Kluyveromyces lactis: one gene and its partners. The protein of the gene in region 4 purifies or fractionates together with the protein of the main gene of each other region. This does not show direct contact. Links are inferred from orthologs where the notes say so. Each region holds a gene or a part of one and is shown on either strand. Other genes may lie near its edges.

Region 1 (6,647 bases), on a different chromosome or scaffold from region 4:
AATCGATAGTTTCCTGTAGTAACGTGACGAGTTTCTTGGCCACAGTTGTTTTACCGCTACTCGGAAAACCAGTTAGTAAAACCAAGGGCATTGCTGTACAGTCAAGAGGTTCTAAGTTCACTAGACGTTGCTGCAAAGTCTGAAACAATGATTGAGTTTTTCCTCTTTTCATGAGCTCATCGAGTATTTTCAAAGTTCTTGTTCTGAACGCAGTAAAAAGTAATTCTCATGTTGAAAGAAGCTTTAATGATCACCTATCATGATTCACCAAAAGAAAGTTGACAAACTACTGATTACTTCTTTGTCATAAACATTAACGACAACTCCATTAACTGTAATAGTTGTTCACAAACTTACTGTATTGGAAGATATGAACGTTTCGGTAAAATGTGTCAAATACTCAGGTAGACGGCTGCAGTCTACATTTGTACCAAGAATGGTATTCCCAGATTTCAATATACCAACAAGTGACTTCAAAGGACATCAAAAGAAAGCTATACAAAGAGCTCAAAATCTCCTTCCTCAGCTTAATCTTCTAGTTGAACTTCGAGACAGCCGGGCTCCAATAGCCACTAGGAACCTCATATTCGATTACTTGTCCTTAGAAAAGAAAGTTGACAGACTAGTAGTTTACACCAAAACTGATCAATGCGATCCTGCTATTATTGCATCATTAAATAAATGGCATAAGGAAATGGACGAACAATATATCATGATAGATGGAAGAAGCAAAAAGGGCGCTAAAGATCTCTTACATATATTAAAATGGAAGTATGATAAGTTTCTCCAGAAAAATGATCCGGGGAAGAAGACTGTGGGACTACCACTGGGTTATAGAATGCTAATTGGCGGCATGCCTAATGTTGGGAAATCAACACTCGTTAATAGTTTAAGATTTACTGGATATGCAGGCTTGGATCATTCGGATGGAAGCAAACCCAAGAAGGTTGCGAAGACAGGTGATCAGGCAGGTGTCACCAGGAACACTAGTGAATGTATCAGAATCAGTGATTATAAAGGAGGGTTGTTTCTATATGATACGCCTGGAATATCTTTACCTGCCAAAGCAATGAGCAAGCAAAGAATGCTATCACTCAGTTTATGTGGGTGCGTTAAAAACAATCTAGTGGACCCTGTGATTCAAGCAGATTTTCTGTTGTATCTTTTGAACCTACAGGGAAAATATCAATTCTACACACACTACACTACAACCCCTACTAACAACATTGACATTTTGTTGAGTGGCCTCAAAAAGCAAGTAGGAATGACAAACGAGAATGCTGCAGCCATCTATTGGACAGATTCTTGGAGACAAGGTAGAGTTTTAAAATCTGGGTTAAGATCTGGTTCTAAGAAGTCCTCTAAAGCTACTCCAGCTCTATTCGAGTTGGAACCCATTTTGGAAAACTTTCAATACAAGAAAACTATGCAAGAAGAACTTGAAATTCTCAAAGGTTGGGATGTTTTATCCCAACCCTTACTCAACAAAAGAGAAAAGCATTTATCTAAGGCAAATACGCTTTTCTGAGAGAATACCTAAGAAGTAGTCAGTTCTTGGTTAATTATAAACAATGTAAATAAATAATAGAAAAGTATAGACTAGTTTTCCAACATATATCGATAAAGCAAATCGAACCCACCGTCCAAATTCCTAAATAACTCGCAAAAAAAAGTTCATTTTATGAGAAGGAGGCTAAATTGTTAAGTACACTCTCCCCGTTTATTACCACCGCTGACTACCTATAGGTACATCCCGAACTGAAAAAAAAGTTTGCGTGCTAATGAAGGTTTCGATACCAAGGAAGTCATCCGTTAAGCAGGTTTGATTTTTTTCTTATAATCAGCAAACGATAATTTCTTTTTCATCTGAGCTTGGTGGATAGTAGACGAAGGGCCGGGAACGCTGTCTATTCCACGCTTCAACGAATTTTTAATGCTATTAGAATCGGAAGTGACACTAGTTTGTCCTTGGTTTGATATAGTTTCGGTTATATTTGTTATGGTGGTGTCAGTTGGAGGGTTATCTTCAGTACTTATTGTCTGTATGGGAATAGGAAGATCGGCTGGGTGTTTAATCTGTGATTCATCGAACTTAGAAGGATCTGAAATGAATGAAAGACTTTCTTTAAGGGGGTCAACCCTGTTTTTGGACTCCGTCACTGAAACCCTGTATTTGTTCCCTCTGATACTCCCAGCGTTCGTATGGAAAGACTTCTTCTGTACAGTGTCAGAGACCGGTTCTAACATCTTTAGCTTAACGGCATTGAATTTAAGTAGAAATTCATTGGCCCTTGCTGCGTCTGAGATTGTGGCATGCGCTAATTTACTGAGAATAGATGACTGTTTTTTGGTTTGCAATTTGTTTCCGTGTAATATTTCGTTAAGCTTGTATCGATTATTCATTTTTGATTTGACTGATCTATAGAGTGATTGAGAATGGCGTTTGATTTTCAGCAAGTAACAATCTTTACTATTACTTCCACAGGCACAATCACAACTTCCTAGAATGGTGTCTATGGAATGTATGAAAAGATACCTTTGTGGCTCTTCAATGGAATCTATGCTCTCATTATGATTTATTAACTTCCATATTGGATGTCTCAGGTCCCAGTCCCATTTGATGTGAAGTTCTTCACCTTTATCAATGAATCTTAGAGCTCTAAGAACGAACTTTATCTCATCCTGGTTATTGGAATTAGTCAATTTGATTGTGACTAGTTCAACATTGGGATTGCATGATCGTCTCAAGTATCTCGTTAAATTTCCACTTAACCTGGCATCAATATAAATCGGCCAGTGGGGATGAATAATGACTTTAGGTTTTGCAGTTCCCCAGACTCTATAGTTATTTCTTGGATCTTCTAAGTATTTCCTTTGGAAATCAATCTCTCCTAAGAATTCATCGATGTAGTCTCCTTCATCACATCCTTGCTTCAAGTATACAGCTAACTTGGGGTATCCAGGGAACAATCTTGAGTGATTACTGTCAGAATATGGTTTAATTTCAATCGGAATAGGTTTGAACGTTAATTTATGATAAGGTATAACCCAGTCGTCATCAGCGTGGTCTTTTACGAAAAGTTCAACGTATTTATCTTTGTAATCATTTGAAGTCAAAGGGAGATACACTGTAGGATAAGCTTCTTTAGCATTTATTAAAACAATGTTCGTAAGAGGATCTGCGGATGGAATGGCCTCTGGTTCTATACGATGGTCCGTCGCTTCAGAAGTACCTGGATTCCGTGAGTCTTTCGTACCAGACGTGGCCTCTTTTGTCTTCACCTCTTTTATGTTGCCATTTGCCGTGCGTCTACGCTTCTTATTCTGAGCATTTCTGATCCTTTCTTGTTGTTTCTTCTTTGCTAGCTTTACATCTACAAACCTAGAATTGCAGATGTTGCACAGAAAGTCATCTGGGGCATCTTTTTCATGTTCAATTCCATAGCATATAGCATGTTGCCAACGGAAACAATGGTCGCATTGTATAGTAAATCCATCATCATCTTCATAGCCACAGATGCACGTTATTATACCAGCATCTGGATCAACAACATAAGATTCGGGAACCGAAGAAAACCTATCCGTTTCAGATTTTTCAAGTTTTTGTTCCTCTACAGCTTCTTTGAAACTATCTTCTTGTTCCACCACTTTATCTTCGCTCTTTGCTTGCTTTGAAGGAGATTTTTCCTCGGCACCTGATCTAGGCATTGGCACGCTGTTGTTCGCAGCAGGTTTTCTATCGTTTTCTGCTTTTCGTTTAAGAGGTAGTGGCATCGTAGCTGCTTGTGCTAACGCAGCAGCCGCAACCATACCCTTCTTATTCCCGCTTTTCTTTGTCTTTTCGCTATTTGAGTTGCTGCGATGAATACCATTGTCAACGGGACTGCCTTTTAGATGATCATCGTCATCATCATCTTTGATAAGTGCCACAGATGCAGGGCCCGGTGATGTCATGGGATTCATATGCATACTTATATCACCAGCGCTCCCACTGTGACTACCAGCTTGACTTCCGACCTGACTTGCAGTTCCAGCGGAAGGAGTTGGTGTCATTTTGTGTGTATGTATATCGGCTTTTAACTCGTCTTTACCCTCATCGCTCGAGTTGACGTTTGAATTCGATGTTTTAGAGAACATCAACAAAGTGGAGGCATCGTCTATTAACGACTGGTCCTGAGCATGTTCTATAGTACCATCCGTCATCGTTTACTGTATATTTCCTTCTTGTATTGCGGTATTTGATTTGAATATTTGAAATTGAATGAAAAGTCGGTACCTTAATATTAATAAAGATGTCCTAACTTGCCCAGCTTGATATACTTATATACCCTTCTTTATCTTAAAAGGGATCCCTGTTTTCAGGGCCTAGTATGCTTGTTGTCCGAGCTATCGAAGTATAGAAAGCACAGCTAAAACAGTCTATACGTTCTGAATCAAACCCAACAGGAAAAATTAAACGGCCCTTTCTGATCCTCGTACAGCTGTTCTATCAAGTTTGCCAACGGTTACTTCGTGAAAGAGATATGTGCGAGTACCTTATTGACGAGAGCTAATTAGACACTCAATATGTCTGGGCTGGTCGTTTCGTTTCGTTCCTTATTAACATGTTTATTCATCCTTCGTTTGTCAATTTTTAGAAAGATAGTTAATGTTGTTGATTTTCAAAATTTTGTCGTTAAACGGTGAAAAATGTCGTACCTTGAATAATGAAGAGCCGATGAGTTGTAAACAATAAACAAGGTGCAAAAGCACGGTTAGTAGCAGTACCGTTTTCGTTTAACGCAAAGCTGTGGGTGAACATATCGCTGAACGCAAGATTGTGTTACTACTACATGTACCAAGCTGTAGATACTTTTTCTTTTTCTTTATTACTTATATTTAAATACCGGTTTACTGCCAACAGATCCACAATTGCCATGCAATATATTACTCTGTTGCTGCATAATATCAATTGCCGGAAAGGTTACAGTCTTGGGGTGCCGTAACTTTCTTGGTACCATTCTATTTCTTGTAATGCTTTCTTTTCGGGTTCTACTCTCCATTCGATTTCCGTACCGTTCCAATCACTTTCCCTGTACCTCCACTTGTGTGCCAGTATTGGTGCTAATCTTCCTTCTATTTTCTGCTGTACGTAGCTTCCGATGTTAGGAAGAAACTTGTAAGCATGTCCCGAGTCTCCACAACATACATACACGTTTTTCAGGTCGGGGATCATGTCTATAATGAAGTCAGAATTTGATGTGTCACTGATCCAGCATATCTTACAATCAATGATATCCCTTAACTTTGACTTTCTTTTGGTATCGAAGACTAGATCCGGTAGATATTTACCTAGTACTGTTCTTATACGCACGACTGCCTCTATTGGTACACTGGGTGCCGCATCGGGCTGTAGGGCCCGATAGACCGCTCTTGATTTGTTGCTCATATCATCATATGCAGACATCGCACTAGTGCAAATCTTCAATATCCTGGTGTGCTTATCTGGAGGGAACAGATATCCTAAGCTACTGTTGAAGACCACTGGAATATCCTTTAACTTTTGATATTCTTTGTCCGTCAGTTGAATATGGCCTACATATAACCCAGTAGCCCTGATCTGACCATACATAGGCAGAAGTGATACAGTATTAGCACCACATGCAACAATAATTTTGTGTCCAAGGAATTTTCTGCCAGATTCACATTGAACAGTGCCCGCTGACACACTCACGGCTCCATCATTTTCATGAAATACGACGCCTAATGATTCAGCATAATTTTTCATGGTCACTAGTGAATCCCTAGCCAAACCAATACCACAGTCTGGATTGTAACGAATCTCATCGTAGCGTTGACTATGAGAAAACTGAGGGAACTTACCACCACAAGTTAACTCTTTATGTAGTTCCACAGTTTTACACTTATTAAACTTTGTTTGTAGAAGTTGTAAACTGTCATTATCGAAAGCATATCTGCTTGTATTCTTATCTTGAATTGCACTCAATCTACCACAATGAGAGTAACAATCATGCAGCATTCCTCGAGGCAAAAATTTGTCACTTTCACCGTGCCAGTATCCCATTGCTTCCACTGCTAGTGCAGCGTAGACTTCATCGTTGTACTCTAGTCTAACAATTTTATTATAATCACAGGACGCACTTAACTGCGATGGAATTTGAAACTTATCAACCACCACAACTTTATATTTGGAACGAGCCAATTGCACAGCAGTACTTAATCCAAATATACCCGCGCCAACAATGACAACATCATAATTGGACATTTCCGGTTCGCTGCCTGTCTAATGTGAGGAAAGCTGTATAGTTGAATATATTATCTATGTTCTTTCTTAACCGAAGTTCTTCTTTATAAAGACTTTGAAGTACAATGTAAAGTTGATGGCTCGAAAGATTTTGAATCATCGGACCTCGGAGCTGATAGGAACAGTTTACCAAGAAAAAAAAAAAAAACTTGAGATAGTAAACAAAGACAGTAAGGATAATAGTGTACATAAGAGGTAAATCAAGTAGAAGTACCATGTTATAGAGTGAAAGAGTTGTCGGCATTTCTGTCCTGTATCCAACAAGTTATAAAGGAAATAATAGAAGCAAGTTATGTTAAAACTTATGAGCTAGCAGGTACAAAAGGTGAATATGTGTGTGTGT
Region 2 (5,050 bases), on a different chromosome or scaffold from region 4:
GGTTTTATTATTATTATTATTATTATTATTATCGTTACCAAAACTGTTAAAGTTACCAGATGCAGGTGGAACTGGACTTTTCTCACTTTGAAAATCACCAAATTCATCATCGTCATCATCTTCACCATCAACACCGAAGCTCTCGAATACGTTAGCATTATTGCTATTGTTGATTGAAGGAGAAGCAGGAGCTGGTGCATCATCGAAGTCCAATAGATCGATTTCTGGTTCCTGCGCGGAGACTTTTCTTTGATGTTCACTGTTACGGATTCTTTCTCGTAATAGCTCTCTTCTCTGTCTTCTCTGTTCGTCCACAGCAGACGATCTACGATCTCTGTGAGCCGTTGGAGTAGGTTCATATTCGAAGTCGTCCGAGTCATCAATGGTAGAAGACGATCCGGCGAAAGAGTCTGCATTGATGGAAATATCGTTATACAGAGATTCTGAGCGAGATCCGGCAGATCCGGCAACGATTTTTTGTGTATTTTCCGCGGTCTTGGAACGCTCGCGTTTCAAGTAAGAAGTATCCTCTATCAACTGGATGATATGTTCACATTTCTTCTTGATACCACGCTCATGTAATTCCATCTTCCCATCACTACTGAAATCAACACGATACTGCATCGTTTCCTTGGTTAAGATATGTTTATGTGCTTGTAAACAGGATAGCACTTGATCAGTCTCTTTGCCCCTATCTGACCTCATCAATAAATACTCTAACAAGACCAAACATTTCAACACAACTCTCCATTCGTTACCGTAATTCACGTACTGCTTTCTGGCCTTTTCGTACATGTTCTTAGGTCTTTTAGCCATATGATCGACTAATCTTTTCAAAGTATATTCAGTCATCAAAAACATTGAAACCTCATAACGATGTCTCATCACTTTAGCCAAATGTTTTGGAGTTGGACCCCAGGAATCGGTATTCGTAGCACGTCTAATATCGATCTGGTATGGTTCATACTGAACTATAACGTTCTGTGCAAATCTTGCAGCATTTCTGAAATCATGCAGACCCAAATTACCCAACTTTTTAGAAATAGAATCCATCCTTACTGATAAGATATAGCCTGTCCAGCGTGATCAATAGCGTACCACTGCAGATACAACGGGTTACCGCACTGAAATGACGAACGTATCCTCACTGATCATTAATCATGATCATTATTTTATGTTGAAAAGTCTTGTAAAGGTTGCGCTGATTGCAGAGGGCAGCTAAATTGGGAAATTTCAGGTGAGAAAAGGGAACAGGCCCGGGTAACCATTTTCATTGGGTAGCTACATTTGTTAATGGCCAAAGAGGAGAGATGATGATCTAGTCATAAACTTCCATTGATATAAAAGGGTGTTGTATATATGTATTTGAGTGTCTTCCATTACCAATTGAGTGAGATCAAATACACTCAATTAGTCAATGGGTTGTTATAGACATAAGTATATATATAGATATCCCGAGCGATTGAAGTGTGATAAAGGGAAGAAAAAAGGATTAAAATGAAAAAAAGAGTCAATTCCCTAGCTTATTTCCTTACAATTCACCAGACTTAGCGATAACAATTCTGGCCTTGGTAGCACCGGAACCGGAACCCAGGGATTCGACCTTCTTGACGACATCGAAACCATCAGCGACTTCACCGAACACGACGTGCTTACCATCCAACCATGGGCATGGAACAGTGGTGATGAAGAATTGAGAGCCGTTGGTGTTTGGACCAGCATTGGCCATGGACAACAAACCTGGCTTTTCGTGCTTCTTGACGAAGTTTTCGTCTGGGAACTTAGCACCGTAGATAGACTTACCACCGACACCAGTACCGTGAGTGAAGTCACCACCTTGCAACATGAAGTCTGGGATAACACGGTGGAAAACAGAGCCGGCGTAACCGAAACCCTTTTCACCAGTAGCTAGAGCTCTGAAGTTTTCAGTAGTCTTTGGAACAACATCGTTGTACAATTGGAAAACAATTCTACCCAATGGTTGACCGTCAGCTTCCACGTCGAAAAATACCTTAGACATTCTTAGTTTAGTTTAGTAGTTGATACTTGGTGTGTTGTAACCAAGATTTTGCAAACCAGAACAGAAGAGCAAGAACTGGACTTGAATTGGAATTGGATTGAAGTTGAATCAGAGTTCAATTGAGAAAGTGGTTGGTAGTTGCTAACAAAGGGTGGCGTTGGCTTCGCAAAATGGTATTAGGTGATGACATGCGGCCGGGTAACGAAAACGGAAACCCCATTATCTTACACATCAACCGCATTGTCGCCGCAAGTCACGTGACACACGTGACTTGCATATTTTGTTAACATCGCAAGGCACGGAGAAACATGCCTGAGTTACCCGTGCCTCAGCTGAAAAATTCTTCGAGAGACAAAACCTGAATCGAAATAATGCGATGAGATGAGATGAGATGAGATGAGATAGCCAAAGGTTGGGTAAATATATAGATGCTGATTTGATTCATCGCACTCCAACGAACAACCACGTATACCATGCTAAGGGGAACTAGAAGACCAGCAAACTCCACTTTGAACACGCCCGTTGTGGTACATACGGTGGGCACGCCAACATACCTATCTAAAGACGAAGTACTACAATTCCTAGCAAGTTTCATTGCCGAAAAGGAATCAGTACCAGGCGTGACACTAGCGTCAAGCGGAGCTTCTACAACCCAGGGAGCAGTAACTTCTGGTGGCATTAGTGCCGATGAAATGGCTCTAGATACACAGCTTTCCAGTGCTCTTGCGCAGCTGAAAAGAGTCGAAAGAGATTTCAAAGGTCTACCACCTCAAGTAATGGAGATGGAACCCTCCAGCACAAGTTCTACTGGTAATACAGAAGAAGATACGGTGGCTAAATCTGCTACTGGAGGGAAAAAGATCAAGTTTGCTGATGTGCCGGAATCTTCACAAACCTCCAGTGACAGCAAACAAACATCCTCATCCTCGGAATCGTCATCAGACTCTGAATAGACGGCTGATTTGCACTACCCACGAATCGGGAGGGTATTCATTCATTATATATATATATATATATATATATATACATACATACGCTAAGTTACATACAGTGACCGTTATAATCAATGCATAAGCTTGGAGCTCACCCTAATTGCAACATACCACGTGACTTCAAATACACAACTTTTTCTTTTCCAATGGGCTCACCTGCGGTTTCTTTCACACAGAGAGAGTGTGAGTCAGTTGGAATTTTTCGTCAAAGTGATATGACATCAGTTGAAAAGAATATCAACATTAACATCCGATTCCTTACTACCAGGTATATATTTGTACACACTTGTAGCATTCATCGTTGCTCTACTTTGCTTCTAATATACTTATCTCATTTTCTTGATCGTATTTATTCTAAAGCGATAAAGAGGATCTGAATCTTGCTTAGGAAGATTAAGAAAGAATCACTACTTATAATATACTATAACTATGGGTAAGAAAGTCGCTGGTGTCTTAGGAGCTACTGGTTCCGTTGGGCAAAGATTTATCTTGTTGTTAGCTGACCATCCAGATTTTGAATTGAAGGTTTTGGGTGCTTCTTCCAGATCTGCAGGTAAGAAGTATGTCGATGCTGTGAACTGGAAACAAACCGATTTGTTACCAGAATTTGCTAAGTCCATCATTGTTTCTGAATGTACCGCTGATGCCTTCAAGGACTGTGATGTTGTGTTCTCTGGTTTGGATGCTGACTATGCTGGTCCAATTGAGAAGGAATTCAAGGAACATGGGTTAGCTGTTATTTCTAATGCTAAGAACTACAGAAGAGAAGAAGATGTGCCATTAATCGTTCCAATCACCAACCCAGAACATTTGGATTTGGTTAACGCGAACTTGGTAAAGGCCAAGCAAGAAGGTAAGCCAAGACCTGGTTTTATTATTTGTATCTCAAACTGTTCTACTGCTGGTTTAGTGGCCCCATTGAAACCATTAGTTGAAAAATTCGGTCCTATTTCTCTATTGACCACTACCACTTTACAAGCCATTTCCGGGGCTGGTTTCTCTCCAGGTGTCCCAAGTATCGATATCTTAGATAACATCATCCCTTACATTGGCGGCGAAGAAGACAAGATCGAATGGGAGACCAAGAAGATCTTGGGTGCTTTGAGTCAAGATAAATCTCAAATTAACCTATTGAGCGATGACGAAATCAAGGTTTCTGCTCAATGTAACCGTGTTGCTGTCTCTGACGGTCACACTGAATGTATCTCTTTGAAGTTCAAGAACCAGCCAGCTCCATCTGTCGAAGAAGTAAAACAATGTCTAAGAGACTATGTCTGTGATGCTGCTAAGTTGGGATGCCATTCTGCGCCAAAACAAACCATCCATGTCTTGGAACAAAATGATAGACCACAACCAAGATTGGACAGAACAAGAGACAATGGTTACGGTGTATCTGTTGGTAGAGTCAGAGAAGATCCTGTATTGGACTTCAAAATGGTTGTATTGTCCCACAACACCGTTATCGGTGCTGCAGGTGCAGGTATCTTGATTGCCGAAATTCTATTAGCCAAGAACATCATCTAAACGCAAAATGATAATTCTTCCTGAAGCAAATTTGAAAGGCAGTTTCTAGTGCTCCGAATATTTTTGTTTCTTTCACGTAATCATGTATAACCAGATAAAATGTAATTCATAATTCATATTTCGTTACAGAATACCTACAATGGGCACTAATCCATTTCAGCGCAGAGCTTACTAAGATGACGATCTGTTTATCATGGAATTAGTACTGCTCGATGAAGAGACTTTATATGAGTACATTTTCGAACGATATGTGGAATTAGAGGCTAACGCAAACGATTTATCTCAAGATCTCGGTATTCTGTCGAGAAACGAATCAGAATTAGAGATAGACATTGGGCCACATCGCCTAGTGACCAGGAAAAAAAAAGCACCAGAAAGAGATGAGTATACATTTAGTATACACCAAAACCTAACCTCTTTAAATTCCAACCGTGATAATAATAACTCGACGACTGGATACGTCATTTGGACCACGTCTACTTTTATTCTCAAATGGTTATTATACAATGACAAC
Region 3 (5,805 bases), on a different chromosome or scaffold from region 4:
TCACATTACACGGTATGAAAATGATTGGTTGCTGGTCACGAGAGACTTAAGTTCTGGTAATGGACACTGAGCATAAAAGGTTCCTATTCCTTGTTTAAATGGTGTTGCTGTCTCGCCGGGACTACAAACCCACAAGTAGCTCATACGATACCGTTCACACTGGCAACAGATTCAGAAGTACTTCCTACTTTATTTTCTGTTTCTGTTGCATCTCTTTATACATATTGACAAACAGTGTAATATTGACGTTCAGGAATTCAAGTCCGGGTAACAATATTTGTTTCACGGCCTGGCGGTAATTGATTTTGGGTTTTTAGCAAACCTGAGCCATCGCATGTCATTCTAGTAGCTGCTGCAGGGACTTGCCGGCTGGGGTTGGTGTAGTGGACAGAAACACCGTTCCTAATATATAGAATGCTAGATTAAGCTGAGAGCTTGTTGCATTGAATTCAAAAAACAAGCGCGTTGGCTAATAGAACGCCCGTAGGATCAGCCATGGTTATGGAAATCAAAAGATTGCCTATTGCTGCTTAAGTGTAGCACGAACTTGTGGGTAATGTAACGTTTGTAATTACAAGGGCGTATGACATAAATTAAAAAAAAGAAGAAAAGTAAGAAGGAACACATACAGACTCCTAATGGATACTGTGTATCGACAAATAAAAGCTAGGACATTTGAAGTAAAGAGAGTATTACATCTTTAGTTTGTCTTTGAATTCTTTGATTTTTCCATGAATCTTTCGTATTTCCTTTTCACATCCACTTCATGGATAGATGAGCCTGTCACTTGATTTCCTATCGTGAACCATCCAGGACGGATGTTATGGTCCCTACCGAAAATTTCAAGTTTACGGGCATGTGTACCGACAAGTCTTTCAATGATTCCATACAATTCGTCCGGCTTTCTACTGGTTTCTCTAGTTGCGCTAATGATCAAGTCAATGTCTATTTTTCTGTTTAGCCATTCCGGATTGCCTTTGACCCCGACGAGTAAATGCTCTTTACTGTGGTTCAACCAATGGCCAGTTCTACCTGTCACAATTGTTCTTCCTAATTGGTTTGTCTTGATCCAAGATATTTCATTTATTACTTCGTAACCCCAATTCTGCAATGATTCTTTCCCTACTTCGATAGCACGGCCGGTTACCCACAAGAACAATAAACCTTCTTCCTGCAAGAGATCAAATGGTAGTTGCAGTAACTCATTATCATTGCAAGTACCGTAGGGCAAATTCATATGAATGTTCCATGCGGGATCTGCAATAACGGCTGAAAATTTACCAAGAATATCGAAGTCAAACTTTCTGACGTCACATTTGATCCATTGTGGAGGAAGAAGCTTCTTAAACGATGAAGAACAGCACTCTCCATGCGTATAGAACGAATACTGCTTGCGTTGCTCTTTTTGTTCTTCAATTTTCTGTTTTTGGAGAGATTCAGGATAATATTGCAGATAGTGGACGTATCTGCAGGTACTTAACTTGTGACAAGTATCCAAATACGAACAATCTCCCAACGAAAGATCCGTCTGTGGCTTTAAATTTGGTATGAAATGAATGTGCGTGTTCGAACATTCGATAATATCCGGACAATCAGCTTCAATCTTCTTTAATTTTTCACCTTGCAAAGACATGATTTTGTTGTTAACAGTATTGATGACGGTGGATAGTAGTGACACATGTTTCGGATCTGAGCATATTGGTATGAAAGGTGATCGCTTAGTGTTTAATTTTGCCTGTTCTTTAGATAACTTAGTGGATCCGAGTTCTAACGAGAGGATTTGATTTAAGTGTCTTAGACACTTAGCATTAGGGGTTACAATTTCACTCTGGTCCAAAATGCCCATCAACTTATTTAATAATATGGGTTCGCTTTCAATTTTTCTTTCTTTAACCTGAACAGAATCTTTATCGATCGCAATCTGCTTGGCTTTATTGCCAGTATGTGATAATGACAATTTAATAGCTTGGTCATAATGAACTTTTTGCAATATTTTCAAGGAGTCCCCATCAACAAATGAAATCTTTTGGCCAAAAATATTCCCGCCACTATCATCTTCAAAATTCATGCAACCACCACATACTTCTGAAATTTTATTCAAATCTTCACAAAACTGGTAATACGTCTCACCACATTCGTTATTCTTCCATAGGAAATTTTGCATGAACATGGAATAAATGACATAAATGTCGTGTAAGCTACCATTGATCGGGGATGCAGTGATGGACGCATAGTTGTCCAACATAAAATCAACTAACCCCCAATTCAAAGACATAATACCAGTTTCACTCCTTTCACTGCTCGGACAATTTCTTTCGAGACGCAGCTATATTCAGTTTCGTTTCACCTTGTTACTCCACTCAATAAAAAAACAACCGCCGACGTCAATATCTCTGGCTCCAGACAAGATATAACAAATCCGTATATTTTTTTCGATCACCACAACTTTCACAAACTTTCTGTGCCTACAATGTCATGAAACTATATATAAATTGCCGGCTTTTCCTCTCAGTTCCATCCACGTTTAACAATGGTTCTGTCTTAAAAAGATGGTGTATTTCGTGATGAAGCTGGGATTTTTTATTTTCAAATCCGAGTTTGATCTAGGTAGGAATTCGTTGTGAACAGGGGAATACACAGGCTCCAAACTGGCAGGAAAGTGAAGGGCTTTACCAGTGTATTATACGTGAATCTGCAACGATGCTGATCTCTCTTTAGAATTGTGGGGTACATCCTTCATCTTGATACGTTGTTATCACGTGATTGGTTCATGTGATGTACGGAGTTTATGGTTCTGATCCACTTGGAATAAAAAAACATGGAATTTGAAAATACAGTAATAACAGAACAACACATAAATAAAGTACGGAAAGGTCGAATAGACAATCGACCGAGCCAATACCCAACTCTTTGCAGATTGTAGCTACCAAGTATCAATTCTGGCTGAGTGGCAGTTATTCATTACGGGTAAGTGGTAGCGGAATCCTTTTCATAAGATGTCATCGGATACACTTAAATTTGATGAGAAAACGGAAGCTGAGAAGCCATTGTTTGATTGTGATTTTGGGACTTCCTATAGTCCCAGAGTCTCGTACCACTTCAATTCGAAGGTATCACAATATCATTACGGTGTCAAGCATCCAATGAAACCTTTTAGGCTTATGCTTACCGACCATTTGGTTTCGGCATACGGGTTACACAAAGTGATGGACTTATATGAGACGAGGTCAGCAACAAAGGATGAGTTAACAAAATTTCATTCTGAGGACTATGTCAATTTCTTAGCGAAGGTAACACCAGATACATTGAATAAACTTCCTCGAGGGTCACTCGAGAAATTCAACATTGGTGACGATTGTCCTATCTTCCAAGGAATGTTTGATTATGCTGCCTTATATGCTGGGGCATCGTTAGATGCTTCTAGAAAGCTACTTAATGGTCAGAGTGAAATAGCTATCAATTGGTCTGGTGGTCTACATCATGCGAAAAAGAACAATCCATCTGGTTTCTGTTACGTTAACGATATCGTGTTAGCCATAGTAAATCTACTGCGGTATCACCCGAGAGTGTTATACATCGATATAGATTTGCACCATGGTGACGGTGTACAGGAAGCGTTTTACACTACTGACCGTGTGTTCACTGTTTCATTCCATAAGTATAACGGCGAATTCTTTCCAGGTACAGGTGATTTGGATGAGATAGGTTGCTCCAGAGGTAAGCATTTTGCATTGAACGTTCCGTTACAAGATGGGATCGAAGACGACTCATACATTAATTTATTCAAAAGCATTATTGATCCCGTAATAACATCTTTTCGGCCCAGTGTAATTATTCAGCAATGTGGTGCCGACTCCCTTGGCCACGATAGACTTGGCTGTTTTAACTTAAATATCAAGGCTCATGGTGAATGTGTACGGTTTGTCAAGTCGTTTGGAGTACCAATGCTTGTGGTTGGAGGTGGTGGTTATACACCAAGAAATGTTTCAAGATTGTGGACGTATGAAACAGGATTATTAAATGGGGTATTGCTACAACCTAAACTTCCAGAAGGTATTCCATTTAGAGATTGGTTTGGCCCAGATTATTCATTACATCCAACACTAGATGACTTGTATGAAAACAAAAATTCCAAGAAATTTCTTGAAAATATACGGATTAGATGTTTGGAGAACATCAAATACTTACAGGGTGCCCCAAGTGTTCGTATGGATGCAGAACTCATCCCAACACAGGACATCACTGGCCTAACTGAAGAAGAAGAGGAACTGATAAAAGAGTTAAATGTCGAAGAGGACAAGGCTAGGTTGGCACAAATGGAGAAGGATGACTTTAAAGTGGGCGAACTATACTAAAATATCACGTGCGGAAATCTGATATATTTGTTTTTTTTTCTTTCTTTTGGTTACGCTTTGTAAATAGATATCCTATATGGAGTTGTTAGAATACTACTAAATTAACACTATTAAGGTAAAATTATGAGCACGAAGAAAGTGCCTTCGAGGTTAAATAAATACATTATTACCAATTAATATTAAGATCGTATACTTCATTATGCTTACATGGTATGGGTTTTTATTTAACTTGTCTATATGTGTTAAGAAATTTTCTGAAGATATCCTTTAGTAAATAGAATATCTTTAAATTGCTGTGAATATTAAATAATAATGGCGGATGGAGGTACAAAAGGTATTGTTTTGAAGTACCATCATAATTTTGTAAATTGTCGAAAACTTTTGAGAATAGTCTTCATCAAACGAAGAGTACTTTTTTGTCAGTCTACTGGGATTTTGAAATCAAACAAAAAAAGCGTCTCCTTAAACACCAGCTTCGAAGTCCTTTTGAGCCATGAAAATGGATAAATCAACCACTCTTGAAGAGTAACCATATTCATTATCATACCAAGAAAGGACCTTGAAAAAATGGTCGTTCAATTCAATACCGGCCTTGGCATCAACAATAGATGAACGTGAATCGGATGTGAAGTCAGAGGACACAACGGCGTCTTTGGTAACACCCAAAACACCCTTCATATCGCTGCGAGATCTTTGTTCTAGGGCCTTCATAATGTCATCGTAAGAAGTTTTCTTTGCTGTACGGAATGTCAAGTCAACCAGGGAAATATTAATTGTTGGGACTCTTATAGACATACCGGTGATCTTACCATTAAGTTCAGGCAAGATTTTCCCTACAGCCTTAGCTGCACCAGTAGATGAAGGAATGATATTTCCCTGGCAAGATCTACCGCCTCTCCAGTCCTTACCACCAGAACTGGTACCATCGACAGTCTTTTGAGAAGCAGTAGTTGCATGAATAGTTGTCATCAAGGCTTCTTCGATACCGAACTCATCGTCCAAAGCCTTAACCAACGGAGCCAAACAGTTGGTAGTACAGGAGGCATTAGAGACCACGTGATCCGTCAATGGGTTGTATTTAACGTGGTTAACACCATAGACGTACATTGGCGCGGTCTTTGATGGAGCAGTAATGATAACTTTTTTGACACCTTTATGTCTAGAGGCTGTATCGACTTCCTTGAAGACACCGGTTGAGTCAATTACATAATCGACGTTGTAGGAAGCCCATGGGATACGCTCTGGTTCCCTAAAATGAGATAGAGGGATATGAGCCGAAACATGGTCATTTTGAATGATGATACGTTCATCGTCGAATTCAACTTCACCACGATACTTGCCGTGAGTAGAATCGTATTTGAACAAATAAGCAGCGTATTCTGGTGTTGTGGATGGATTATTGATTAATCTGACCTTAACTTCTGGGTGCGTCAAAGCAGCACGTAGAACC
Region 4 (6,832 bases):
TATTGAAGTATGAGAGTATATAATCACGGAACATACACGTATGGTTAGACGTGAATTGGATCAACTTCCTTCTATAAAGTTTATTGCTTTTAATGATAATTAGATATCAATTGAGGGAGAATCAGCTATAAGAGTCTTTTTAATAGATCAATTTTACTGATCTCTTCTTGCAATTCTGTGCCAATGACTGTTGATTTGATGGTTTTGGCGGCACCAGATGGTAATAATTTCTTTTTGGTGAACTCTATAAGAGCCACTCCACTGGATTGTAAACTATAACAACTTTCGAAAAATTCGGCTTTACTCAAAGGTTTCATGACATCTGTTCTTTTAAGAAGTTTGACGTAGTAATCGTAAGCTTCTTCCACTGTACAAAGACATTTGTTAAGATCAAACCGTTCTCTGTGTACAAGCGAGCACAGTATGATCTTTTGTTGTATGTTCAAAGGAGCGATCCGTGTCTTTGTTGTGGCAGAATTCATATATTTTGAAACAGCTTTTGCTACATGCGTGATGGTTACTTTACGGCCTCGAGTTTTATCTGAGTTACCCTTCAAAGATTCCAATTCTAATAATTGAACGCTGCTACGGAGTAGATCAAATAATCTTCTTAGATCTCCGGTTGATCCAGAACATTTGGTCGTTGCAAATTTGATAGCCATGGGTTGAAATATTTCAAAACAAGCTGGAAATATGGAAAGTTTGCTTCTCACAATTTCAAACATTTGTTCAGAGTTATATGGATGGAAATGGATAACTTTAGGAAGCAATTCTTTCTGTAAATTAAGTCTGTTTAGAACACGATCTTTTAAATCAATGCTATTTGCTATTCCGATGATTGTGACGTTGATACCGGGCTCCTTAGCCAATAAAAACAGATCCAGTATAATTTTTGTTGCAGATGATAGCACTGTGGTTTGCTTGATTAACTTATCCATTTCGTCCAGGATAAAGATAAAATGAGTATTTGGTTTCGATCTACAAAACGACTTTAAATTCTTCACACTGTCGCAGGCTTTATGATGTTGTTGCTTATACTTCCCATTGACGATTTCTAAAAGTAATTTCTGGAATATACATTCCGGTTTCGAAAGGGCAATACAGTTGACCTTGGCTACCGCGATAGACTGGAATATGTCTGACTGTGTTTCAAAATAAGATGTATTCAACAGTTCTGGGTCATGTTTTGTGACTTTTTTATTTTTTGGATCCAAAATGATCTCATGAAACTTATCTCTCAGTATGAGGTCTAGCTGTGCCGTTTTCCCTGTTCCTGGTGGACCTGTGATGTACAGCGAATTATCGGCAGATTCCCTGTCCGATATTGAATTGTGAAAAAAATGCATGATCTCGTCGTATTCTGACTTTCTCGTAGCAAGCCAAGTCTGTTCCAAGTTGGAAACTGAAGACTGTTGCAACAGCGATTTTGTCTTCGAAAATATTGGATCGGATCCAAACATCAACCGTTTCGGTTTCAAATCTGATTCAATTGTGTATGGTTCATCGTTGATGTTTGTCAAATTTGAGCTGACTATTCCTAATGGTTTTTTTATTTGCTTTTTCTCAGGAGATGCTGGAGGTGTTGTTAAACCTGAAAAGCGCTTCGCATCAGGCGTCATGTTTTCTGAGTTTCCACAACCTAGTTCACCATCACTTTCAAACGCTAAGAATGGACGTTTCCTTCCATTAAGCATCATTATGGTTTGACTGGTTCCCTAAACTGTTTCAGCCTAGTTCCGTGTTGTCAATTTATGATCGTGTGACTAAATATCGGTGATTGTGAATTCGAACCAGGTATCATAATCAAGTAGCTGAACTTACCGTACATATATATAATGCCTGATCTCACATACTTTTTTTTTTTTCGCATAATTTACTTAATGCGGTTTTCGATCTGTCGCAGATAATTACACTTCCTAAAAGGGTAATTACACGTTAAGACATCAAGTGTTTCGAGTCTTGCTATGAATAGGGCAAGAGTCAAGAAAAAGCGATATTTGGTGGCCGAATACAAGGGAAAGAAGGACCACCTTTCTGGGAGAAACAGCGTAAGGGTAACTCATAGGACCAGCTTTTGTTTCTTGGTATTGTTTGCAAAATACAAAGGAGAGTAAGGAAAAGATACCTATATTTCGCAATGTCACCTGCTACTGGATGAAGAGAGAGGACAGTGGCGCGGTATGCGCATTTTTACCGGATACAACAAGACAAAATACATATCCTCAGCTAACCTTGACTATGAAGTTCCTAACGGTCTGTCCCGACCTTCTGTATCCTTTTCCTCGCACCCCATTGACCTGGGAGGCCACACAGAGAAATTGGTAAAAAAAAAAATCTATCCACGTGATCTAAACACTACGTCACGTTATACGAAGCATCCACTATTTTTATTCTTTCCTCACAACCCGAAATTCGCTTCGAACCCCAACGGCGACTCATTCCCCTCCCTCATAAAAACAAAGAATCCCAGATAGTAAATGTCAAATGCTCAGTTTTCGATTTTTCAAGTATTTCAACTTTTTTGGTATCATCAAGGAAAAAAAAAACAAAAGCATCAAAAATCAAAAAGTCACTTTATTTAATAAAGGAATGAAAAAGAGCTCAAAACAAATCAAGCTACATACTTTAAGCTATCCTTTTTAAAGAAGAAGGAAAAAAAAGCAGACACAGAAAGACGGTAAGAGCTGCTTCTTTTGGATGTTTTGGAGGGCAGCACACAAGGCAAGGTTTTAGGAGACTACAGAATCCAGATCGAGTAGCCGGCACAGCTAGCGTTTATTGTACACACTGTGATATATGAGTGTTCACATTAAGTAGAAGTAAAGCCGAAACCAAAGAGAAAAGCAGTGTAATAGGTGCAAACAAAAGAGTTTGGATCAGAAATAGTGAAGTACTTGGCACGCTATTTGAGAATTTTAAAAGTGAAGAAGGCAAATAGCGTTGAAAACAGTTGCTTCTTTCCTTTCAGTTTTCAGTTCTGGCCCTTTTGAATTTGTTTTGTTAAGTTCGTTTTTATCCCTCCTCCTTTCATATTCTTCCATTTTGATTATCCCATGCCTATTCAGCACCGTATAGGTGAAAAGAAGCGTTACCACTACGGTGGTGGCGCTTCAGGACGATATAGTTCTTCGTCTTCGATAGGTCGAAATCCTGGACAAACAGCACTTTCTGGAGAAAGGGATCGTGGCCACTCTCAGGAATCTGGTAATGGTACACCCAACTCGAGTAGTGGAGACGGTTCTCCAGCTCATATTACGGGGAGTAGACATTCTAGGTATGATCCAAATGCTAATGTTAGTGGTCGTAGCTCGATGAGCTCACGGCCTGGATCAAGATTTAATCCTAATGTAACGATTTCAGATACTGTACCAACTTTAGTTAAAAGAGCTGGCTTGAACGATAATGCGAGTAATAACAACGGATCATCCGGTTCGAGATGGGCTGGGTCACATAGTCGTTACAATCCTCAAATATCGAATAATATGCAACTCTCATCTGGTGCAAATGTACCGTTACTGGGGAACGGACAACTGATTCCAGCTACCGCTCCTGTTAGTGGCGTTAATAGCACACACTTTTATCCTTCGGGCAGCGGGGCAGGCTCCAATCCATATTCTTCGTACGTAACGGGAAAATCACAAAGGCCAAGGAGTTCATTTGATACTTTCCCATCAAATGATAACATTCACGGGATGAACGTCAATGGCAGTGCGAACAATACGAATAATAACTTATCAAATATCACATACAAGAACTCAAAACCTTCATCCGCAAAATCATCAAAGAACATTACTTCGTCAGTAAGCGGCTCAAGAGGATCTTATTGGGGGAGCCGTAACGTAAGGACTGGTAAATATCATTCAAATTCAAGATATAACGGGTTCAAAAAATATTCTTCAGACTATGGCCCTCACGATATGACTGACATACCTAAATCGAAGAAATCTTTCGAAACGTCCCATTCGCTAGGTTCTAGTTTAATCAATTCAGTTCCCCAGACTACAAAGAAAGTGGAAGAACAGTTACATTATGACCATAAAAGAATAGATATTAGTGCAGATGAATACACTGGCGATAGTGACGCAAAGTCCTATACCAGCGTACAGGACAAACATGACAGACACGATTATGGCTCTGAATTAGAAGATGACTCTGAAATTGCAAGCAATAACAACCTAAAGGAGCTGGCAGAAAATCATGATAAAAGTTTTACTCTCCTAACCAAAAAAAATTATGATCAACAAGTATCGGAAGGCCAGCCCGTTGTGGCTATATCAACTGTAGATAAGGAACTCCCAGAGAGTGATCACAAAAAACCTCAAGTGAAAGAGGAAGAAGAAGCTATCGAAAAAGTAACCCTGACGGAGCAACCGACTGTGGAAGAAAAAGAAGATATAGATGAAGACTTAGATGAAGATATGGCTGAAGAAATGAGTACAATTCAAGAGTCTACTGGACCTCTCGCCGAAAAGAATCACATTCCTAACAGGGATATTCTTCCACACCCAGAACCTTATCCAGAACCTTTAGTTCCAATTGAAAAATGTATATTTCCAATGTTGGAACCGGAGATGAAGTTATGGCTTCTCAAAAATAAGCCGAGAGAAGAACGCGTTAAGAATCAGAAGTATCTTTTAACAAAACCTATTGAATATTTATTTGATTATCCATTCTTTGCACAGGCCTGGATTATTCATGATCAAGCTGTTAAACCAATTATAACGAAGAATTTGACAAAGATTAAGCGTTACGAATACTTAAGAAATCTACAGTTGAAAGATCAATTCTTCAAACTTCAGGATATATGGGAAAAGAAATGTGACCAGATGACGGAGCTCAGTGAGAGTTTCCATAGATCTGAACCAAGCGGAGAGCAGAATAAATATGAGAATCTCCAAGCAAATGTTGAAAATGCAAATGAGGCTTTTGAACAACGCCCCACAAGCTCACGAAGGAGGAATAGGGCTGATTTTGTTGATGATAATGATATTGAAAACGTATTACTACAAATTGATCCAGATTACAAACATCATCAATTAGCAGCGAACATTCCTGCTATGACATTGAATCCTGTTGATAAATTTGCCTGCAAATTCAAAGATGTGAACAACTTGGTAACAGATAAAGATGCGTGGGCAAGTAGGCTCTTGACTGATCGTATTGATTCATTCACTCCTTATGAGCATGAACTTTTCGTTGAGGGTTATCTAACATATCCAAAGAAATTCGGCAAGGTTTCACATTATATGGGTGGATTAAGAACTCCTGAAGAGTGCGTCTTACACTATTATAGGACAAAGAAGAAGAGCAAGTACAAGAAACTATTGCTTGAAAAACACAAGAAAAGGAAGGCCAGCATTGGACGTCGTAAAAAAGACAAGTTCGATATTAAGAAAAAAGATAGCGAGGATAAGGTAGAGACTGAAGTACCATTACCTTCCACATCAAACGTTGAAACTCCTGTTTCTCAAACATCTGTTTCTGAAACTCCTGTTGAACAATCTGTTCGTACTGTTGAGCAAGTTGTCCCTGAAGTAGACCATCCTCCTCCTGCTGAAGTTCATCCTGTATCCACTTTAGAACAACCACCTACTTTGGAACAAGAACCTAAATCCACAGAAGAACCGCCAACTTTGGCCAAAAAGGTTGAACCATCTTTGGCAACTTTTCAAGAACAACCTGTGATCAATATAGAAGCAAAGAAGGAATCCGATACTGAGACAGAAAATGAAGCAACGACGGACGGCGATTATAATATTAAACAACAGGTAATGGATTCAAGTGTAAATGTTTCTGAACCAGTTTACATGGTACAAGAACAGGTGTTACTTTCCAATAAACCATATGAAGATATTGTGCCAATGTTAGCTGATATGACATCAAAATCTGTAATCAATGAATCTGTAAAGAATGCTGATCATGCGGATATTGGATTTGATAATACTGAATCCCATCTTAAACCAGAGGATGAGGTTTCTTCAAAGCATTCACTTTATGATCAATCAAACGTCAATTCTGCAGACCAACCTATGAAGAAGAAATTGAAACAAACAGAAGCTGTGCATAAATCGAGCTATTGGAGTGTACAGGAAGCAAAAAAGTTCCCAGAATTGCTCAGAGAGTTTGGTTCAAATTGGACATCGATATCTCAGAAACTTGGAACAAAATCAACAACTATGGTTAAAAACTATTTCCAGAGGAAAGCGGAACAAAATGGATGGTATGCTCTTGTTGAAATGGGCAACAACCAACTTGCATCCTCATCAGTTCTATCATCAGGAGACCAGTCTACCAAACCCGTTGCTATTGCTCCGGCTCCCAATGTGAGTTCAGCTATTATCGTGAACTCATTGCCTTCGCCTGCAACGGTTAATAAGCCTGCGGAAAAACCATCCATTGAGCCACTTCCGCTACAAACGATACCGCAGCAACAAAAACCTGCTGTTGGATTTTTCAATGATTCTAAATTGTCATCCATTCACAAACCATCCTTTTCTCTAACCGGAAATGAAGATAGTTTTTCGAGATTACCAACTCCAACCCAAGGTTTGCCTCCCCAGCATTCACCTGTTATCACATCATTCAGTGTTCCACATACTCTTCCAAGACTGAATACTAATAAACTTCCTGAAATTCAACCCTCAATCTCCAATGCTTATTCGAACCTTGGCAAACCACAAACTCCCTCTGTTCATTTTTCTGCGAATGCTTCTGAAACTCATCATGCTCCAGTACAATCACATACAATTACTTCCAGTAGGAGGTCTTCAATCAGAAGCCTATTGAACGATGGCGAAGATTCGGAAACTAAAACTAATACGATCTTAAACAC
Region 5 (6,762 bases), on a different chromosome or scaffold from region 4:
ACCTTTCAGAAAAAAGCATGGAAATAACCATGCGCAATAGAATATAAAGGCCATTTTTTAGTCTGCCAGAAGCTTGTTTAAGTCAGACACCAAGATAACTCATCGGAAAACTTCAACCTTGGCCTTACTTAGTTTTTACAATGTCTTGTAGTATGCCACAGCAACTAATTTGCTTGTAATTATATATAATGATAACAATAAGATATACTTAAAGTACCACAAACTGTATTTTTCATGGCCGAGTTATAAGCCTTAAGTGACCCCAGCAACATCTGCATCAAGAATGTTATTTATTTACTTCTTTTTTTAGGACCTACCTGTGTCCCCAAGAAAAAGTAAAAAAAGCAGAAATGTTGAAATACTAAGCACAAGAAGTAAACTTGAAACAAGGTACCGAAACAGAGCTAAAAGTTCATTTGTCTGTTTTTATCGTCAAATAAATCAACTGCTGTAGGTCCACAAGTTATCATTGTTATTGGCATAGATTTAAACCTTCGAATTGCACGCCGGTGGGTTTTCCTCGACTTACCACACACACATTCAAGGCGGCAGAGGGGATATTTTGAACATATTAACGGGGAACGATTGTGAGATCTTAGCTACTACATTAGAGGATATTTGAGAAAAGCTTGTACAGCAATTTATTGAAATTATTGAATATTGTGTTACTTCAAAGATATAGGAAAACTAAAGCTGGTACTTGATTATTTCCCTAGACGCTGGTAACCCATAAGAAAACCGTTCTTATCTCATCTTGAATTCCTGGCCAAAGAAATTCGGTAAGAAACTTATTTGGTTATAATTATATTAAACATTTGATCATACTTGCAAGTCCTTTTCAATACCCAACACCGAGCGATATGGAGGCACCGCAGAGAATAAGTACAAGGTCACATCATTCGATGCAAAATAAAAATTCAAAGAACCTTTGTCTTCGAATAGGTGATTCCCCAACGAAAAACAAACTAATAATGGTGGATTCAAAACCAAATGAAAGCAATGATACTTTCGCAGTGCCATTGCGCCACCAGCTTACTAAACGTGTAAGTGAAGCACAGATATACACTTTACCGCCACAGCTTAAATCTGCCAGATCCACACCCTCTACACCACAATTACCGTCTGGCAGTTCGGGCTTTGATTCAGCCGCTTCACCCTCATCGTCTACGTCTTCCTCGCCTTTCAATAAACCAACACTTCCAACAATCAACACCAAATTTCACAATAGGCCGAGGGCCACGACAATTGCGACAAGTGTACCTCAGATACAGACGCCCAGTAATGATTCAATGGAAAGCACGACACGGTATTGGGTTCTTCAAGAAAATACGCCCATGTCCTCTACAAATTATGATAATGATATGAAGAGCATCCCATACAATACCCATTCTGATGAAGACTCACCGAGCTATTCAGAATCATACAGAGAGAAATATTATCCCAGTGGACCGTTACTTGTCGTCCCTCCTTTCATATATTTGTATTCTGAACCATCATTAAAAGAAGTAATGGATTACGACGTAATAATAAACGTTGCAAAGGAGATTACCAACTACAAGGAACAACTGCCTCTATCCAAGCAAGGTTGCTATTATCATTTTACTTGGTCTCATACCTCACAAATTACTAAAAACCTACCACAACTAACAGAACTAATACAGAATGCCTATGCCAGCAAAAAAAAGGTGCTAATCCACTGTCAATGTGGAGTATCAAGATCAGCTTCCTTGATAGTAGCTTACATGATGAGATACGACAAATTAAGCTTGAATGAAGCATATAATAAATTGAAGTCTGTCGCCAGAGAAATAAGTCCAAATATGAGTTTGTTATTCCAACTAATGGAATGGGAAGATTGGCTTAACAATTGTGACTCAATCAATGATAACTGTCGGAAACAGTCATTCGAGTCCATCTCGGAATTCGGTGAACTCTCTCTGTGAGATTGTATGATATAAAACGCAATTTTAGGGATACCCATACAAAGTATATAGTAGCCTAAACACTACTCTGTAATAATACGCCGCGGATCTTCTGTTTGGGCAAACTATCAAAACGTACCAAGTGATAATTCTGTTCTTAAAAACATTAAACTTTTGAAGGTTTCTAAGTTATGATATAAGGTAAATAAAGCTGGTGACAAGGGAGAATAATGCAAAGAAACCATTAGATAATACTGTCCTCCCACTTATTATACTTCGGACTTTACGTTACTCGAAGGATTCATTCAGAAGAGTGCGAATTATGGAAAATCAGAGGCCATTCATAACTTTCAAACCTTTCTGAAAAAACCGAGTAATAACCATGAGCGAACCTGTCAAAAAAAGAAGCTTGGGCAGTTATCTATCTCGTCTCGAAGAGAGAAGAGAAGAACGAGAAAGATCAGAGCAACAGCAGCGAGAAAGTCCTAAGCCAGTGGGTGAAAATGGGAATTATTCTGTTACCAATGTTCCAGTAAAGGAGGAAGAGGTATCTCAAAAGGTAACTTCAACTGATCAGAACAGTACAAAACAACCATCAGACGAACCCTATGTCGTTAGCCAAGCAAACAGCTCTGACCAGAAAGTTGGATCTCCTTTGAATAATCAAGAGTCAATACCGGTGAGACAAGCGGAAACGAAAGGACCTATTAATGAAATAAAACAGGAAACGGATGTAGAAGAAAAGAAAAATCTACCGAAAGTAGGGAGAAATAAGCATTCTGACGAAGAATATAGTAGTGCACTCAGTGAAGTTGAAAGTGACGCACCGACAGAGCCTGCATCGCCACCAAGACCAAAAATGGGGAGACTAATACGAGGTGATCAACTTGAAAGCGGAAACAACAGTCGACAATCAAGTGCTCCAGTATTGACAAATGATGGGGAATCCGATTCTGATCTTTCCGATTTAGATGAGGCTCGTACAGCTAAAATATCAAGCAGTGCGATTCACGAAGATTCCTCTCCGGTGAAACATTATAATGAACACAAGCGCAAATCCTCTAGTATAGAAAACTCCTCCAATCACAAGAAGCAAAAACATTCTGCCGGGAAAAAGATACCGAAGACTAAGCGTGGAGTACATAGGGATGCCGGAGGCAGGACAAAACTACAAATTGCTTGTGATAAAGGCAAATATGATTTGGCAAAAAAACTTATTGAAGAAGACGGCTATGACGTTAACGACCAAGACAACGCTGGAAATACGCCACTACACGAAGCAGCTCTAAATGGTCATTCAGCAATTGTCGAGTTGCTCGTAAGAAATGGAGCTAATGTTAATATTCAATCATATGATATGTTTCTAGATACGCCTCTTATTGATGCTTCCGCGAATGGCCACATAAATGTTGTAAAATATCTTCTAGATCACGGAGCAGATCCAACAATGGTAAATGCCAAAGGTCTAAGTGCAATTGAATCTATTGAGGAGGAATCAGACATGGATAATGATGATAGAAGAATAGTGCACGATATGAAAGATATGTTAAAGAGAGCAACGAGGAAATATATAAAACATTCCCATCGCACCTTACAGTCTAGTTCCATGTCAAGACATTCAGATGATATAGACAAACAACTCAACCATGATGACGACTTTTATTGGACTGATATCAGTTCAAAATTGGGTAAAAACAAGCTTTTGAAAGCTTCCAAAGAGGGGAAATTAGCATACGTCGGTTCGTACCTTGAAAACGGTGGTAGACCTGATTTCAGATGTTTCCTTGAGAGTTGCATATATGGTCATGATGACGTAGTAAGTTTATTTTTAGCCTTTGGCGCACAAGTTAATATGAGTAACAAAGAAGGTCAAACTCCGTTGATGCTATCTGTCGGGCGTGGACATGTCAACGTCGTGAAACTTTTACTCGAAGCCGGGGCGGATCCACAGAAAACTGACAAACGAAAGAAAACTGCCTTGCATTATGCTAACCACAGCTCTCTTGGTCTAACGGATCCTGATGAAGTGAATTTACTCAAAGCAGCGGTGAGGGCAAAATATGGATACGAAGTTTCAAACAACAGCGATGAAGAGGGGGAGGAAGATTCTGAAGGGAAATCTCCTTCACCTAGAGAAATATCGTCAATTCCATCCACCAAAGGAGAAGAGCAAGATCGTTCTTTGGAAATTCGTAAAGATGATAGTCCTTATCATTCAGAACCACAATCTAAAATCGGAAATATCAATGAGGAAAAGCCAAAATTATTACCTGATTCTCAAACGACAGCAGAAACTGCTTCCCTAGTCAGGCCAAGTCTAGAGAGACTAGACTCAACAAAATCAACATCTTCAACATCATTAACTCATCGTTATAAAAGTGCATCTCCTACACATCAACTATCCACTCCGCCTATTCTTCCGAAAGAAAGCGAAGAAGAGAGAGCCGCAAGGTTGAAGAGCGAAGAAGAGTACAGGCAAAAGAGACTGCAACAGAAGAAAAGGAAAGAACAGGAATTCTTAAACAGATTAGCTGAAGATGAACGGAAGAGAGTAGAAGAGAAGGAGAAATTGAAGCAACAGGAGGAACAGAGGCTAGAACAGGCCAAGAAAGAGGAACTATTAAAAGAAGAAGAACTTCGAAACAGAAACGAAGTAGAAAAAAGATTAAAGATCAGAGAGCGTTATCCAATTGGATTGAGAGTCATTGATTTCAAAGATCTTGAGAATTACGATAAATTTGGGCCTGTGTACTACTTCACTGAAGATGGATCAAAATGGGTGCTAGATCTTCAAATAAGTGTCATTATCAAATCCAGCACCGAAGAGTTAAAGAAACAATCATCAGAATTTAAAGAAGTGGAAAAGGGTCAGTACCCACAACTATGGAATCTTTTCAAATTCATCTTCTTATATGGCGGCAGCGATAATGCAAACAACTCGAAGTCCTTGCCCTGGAGGCAATTGTCGGAAATTGACCAAACAGAGTATGTAAAATTCTATGAACTCCCACTAACATGGATTAAACTATCGCGATTGAACCTGCAAGATTTAAACCCAAAGATGAATGACTGGATTGAAAAAAATATGATAGAATTTATCCCGGCATCTACATCTGCCTTGTACAGAACAAGAAAGGTCCTTTTACGTGATAGCAAAAGACCTGGCCAAAACGAAAATAATGCTAACACACGCTTTGTCCCTGCCAAATATCAATCACGCTCCAAAATGTTACCATGGTTGAATGCCTCCAAAGCGCTTTGGTAGGGTCATTATACATAGCATAAGAAGCTTAACACTGTAACAATACATAAGAAAAGATAGAAGAAGAACGTCTTCCTCGGAAAATAGAAGTCACGTGGATTTTATATACACGTGACTCGGACCTTTGCAGATGATTTTCCACGCCCTTCATTCATCACTTCCCCAACCCGTACTATGCGACTGTCTTTCCGGGAACATGATTGGCCAGAGTCTGATTTAGTAACGTTAAATCCGAAAAAAAGTTCCATCTCGTATGAAATGACCTAAAACACACCATCATATCATAAACCTTCGATTCTCCTTCGAGATAAACAATAGAGTAGAAAAAAAAACTGTTACCAGCCATTTTTCTTCGAAGCGTTTTCTTGTTAGCGTTTTTTTTTTCGGCCCACTTCCGTTGGTGCTATTCACCTTTTATAATGGAGAAACATGAAAAAAAAAGCTGTAAATTTTTCATATAATTTAAATAAAAGATAAAATATAAAGCTGATTTTAGCTAGTTTCACAGATTTGAACATTGTTTTGGTATAGTTTCTCTAATTTATTCCAAGGGTTTTCTTGTTTGATATTAGTATTCACAACTAGCGGCCAAAGATTTTATAAAGAGTATGTGCACCGTAAGACGTAACATAATCAGGGGATTGCGAATGGGAATTTTCAATAAGGAACAAATGCGAACTGGAGTTTCCGGAGATAATGGATAAAATCATAAGAAGAACGATTTAAGAGATGTTCTAATTATCATCCCGATGAATAAGGTGGTATAGTCATACCTGATCAGGTTTAAAGTTTTAAATGGATTGGTTGTTTTTTAGTGGATTTGGTTCCTATAAGGGTTTTTATCCATTATCTGTATTTGGTCATGGAGAAAGAAATGGCATTTTGAGAATTCAACATAATAATGATTGTAACTCAGCTGTAAAAGAAGGGATCATGTTTTTCAAGACCAGAATTGATATTTAAACTCTTACTTATTCCACTTGCAATTATCGTCTGATTTTTTTCAGTACAAAGAATCTTATTTTTACTAACAACGATTAAACTGGAAAATGATGGGAAAAATATGTTTTTTCCTTATTGAATCATTTTCAATGTTATTATTACCAACAGTGTTGCGTTCCTCCGTTTCTAGAGTTGCCCGTGTCACTCCTGTCAGATTTGCTCAAACACAAGCCCTATCTAAGGCATCTATCGTCGATTTACCAAACAGATGGGAAGACTTGCCAGCTACTGAACAACAAGATATTGTCCTAAAGCTAGCTGAACGTCAAAAGCTACCATGGACTGAGTTGACTAATGTTGAAAAGCAAGCTGCTTGGTACATTTCTTACGGTGCTTGGGGTCCAAGAAGACCAGTGCACGGTAAGGGTGATGCTGCTTTCATTGCCAAGGGTGTTGCTGCTGGTTTGATTGCCTCTTTGCTAATCTTCGCTGGTATAAGACAACTATCTGGTGATCCACCAAAGACTATGACCAAGGAATGGCAATTAAAGTCTGATGAATATTTGAAGTCCAAGAATGCTAACCCATGGGGTGGTTACTCTCAAGTTCAATCCAAATAATTGTGATTTCTTCTAC

What was found.
Region 1: the proteins of SNT1 (region 4) and KLLA0_F02882g purify together in Saccharomyces cerevisiae (affinity purification with mass spectrometry; 6 studies listed by BioGRID, with this or other methods). This does not show direct contact. The link is inferred for Kluyveromyces lactis from reciprocal best matches to the Saccharomyces cerevisiae genes SNT1 and SET3.
Region 2: the proteins of SNT1 (region 4) and CPR1 purify together in Saccharomyces cerevisiae (affinity purification with mass spectrometry; 5 studies listed by BioGRID, with this or other methods). This does not show direct contact. The link is inferred for Kluyveromyces lactis from reciprocal best matches to the Saccharomyces cerevisiae genes SNT1 and CPR1.
Region 3: the proteins of SNT1 (region 4) and HOS2 purify together in Saccharomyces cerevisiae (affinity purification with mass spectrometry; 3 studies listed by BioGRID). This does not show direct contact. The link is inferred for Kluyveromyces lactis from reciprocal best matches to the Saccharomyces cerevisiae genes SNT1 and HOS2.
Region 5: the proteins of SNT1 (region 4) and HOS4 purify together in Saccharomyces cerevisiae (affinity purification with mass spectrometry; 5 studies listed by BioGRID, with this or other methods). This does not show direct contact. The link is inferred for Kluyveromyces lactis from reciprocal best matches to the Saccharomyces cerevisiae genes SNT1 and HOS4.

The regions. Positions count from the first base shown.
Region 1 is NC_006042.1:266,718-273,364, reverse strand, and holds KLLA0_F02882g (uncharacterized protein), read right to left. Parts: upstream 4,204-6,647; coding exon 1,813-4,203; downstream 1-1,812. Other genes in the region: KTI12 (Kti12p), read right to left, coding at 1-172; putative GTPase MTG1, read left to right, coding at 371-1,528; KLLA0_F02860g (NAD(P)/FAD-dependent oxidoreductase), read right to left, coding at 4,964-6,265.
Region 2 is NC_006040.1:1,413,654-1,418,703, forward strand, and holds CPR1 (peptidylprolyl isomerase CPR1), read right to left. Parts: upstream 2,021-5,050; coding exon 1,532-2,020; downstream 1-1,531. Other genes in the region: ENT5 (Ent5p), read right to left, coding at 1-1,053; DNA-directed RNA polymerase I subunit RPA14, read left to right, coding at 2,494-2,973; HOM2 (aspartate-semialdehyde dehydrogenase), read left to right, coding at 3,442-4,536; RKM5 (S-adenosylmethionine-dependent methyltransferase), read left to right, coding at 4,730-5,050. UniProt on the Saccharomyces cerevisiae protein: PPIases accelerate the folding of proteins. It catalyzes the cis-trans isomerization of proline imidic peptide bonds in oligopeptides. Involved in histone deacetylase complexes, suggesting a function in chromatin.
Region 3 is NC_006042.1:845,471-851,275, forward strand, and holds HOS2 (histone deacetylase HOS2), read left to right. Parts: upstream 1-2,996; coding exon 2,997-4,355; downstream 4,356-5,805. Other genes in the region: IME4 (mRNA (N6-adenosine)-methyltransferase), read right to left, coding at 701-2,275; KLLA0_F09141g (type I glyceraldehyde-3-phosphate dehydrogenase), read right to left, coding at 4,818-5,805.
Region 4 is NC_006039.1:323,775-330,606, reverse strand, and holds the start of SNT1 (Snt1p), read left to right. Parts: upstream 1-3,053; coding exon 3,054-6,832. Other genes in the region: AAA family ATPase CDC6, read right to left, coding at 126-1,697. UniProt on the Saccharomyces cerevisiae protein: Part of the Set3C complex, which is required to repress early/middle sporulation genes during meiosis.
Region 5 is NC_006042.1:340,466-347,227, forward strand, and holds HOS4 (Hos4p), read left to right. Parts: upstream 1-2,304; coding exon 2,305-5,187; downstream 5,188-6,762. Other genes in the region: VAC7 (Vac7p), read left to right, coding at 1-40; KLLA0_F03597g (dual specificity protein phosphatase family protein), read left to right, coding at 861-1,943; KLLA0_F03641g (cytochrome c oxidase subunit IV family protein), read left to right, coding at 5,790-5,790, 6,295-6,746. UniProt on the Saccharomyces cerevisiae protein: Unknown. Component of the Set3C complex, which is required to repress early/middle sporulation genes during meiosis.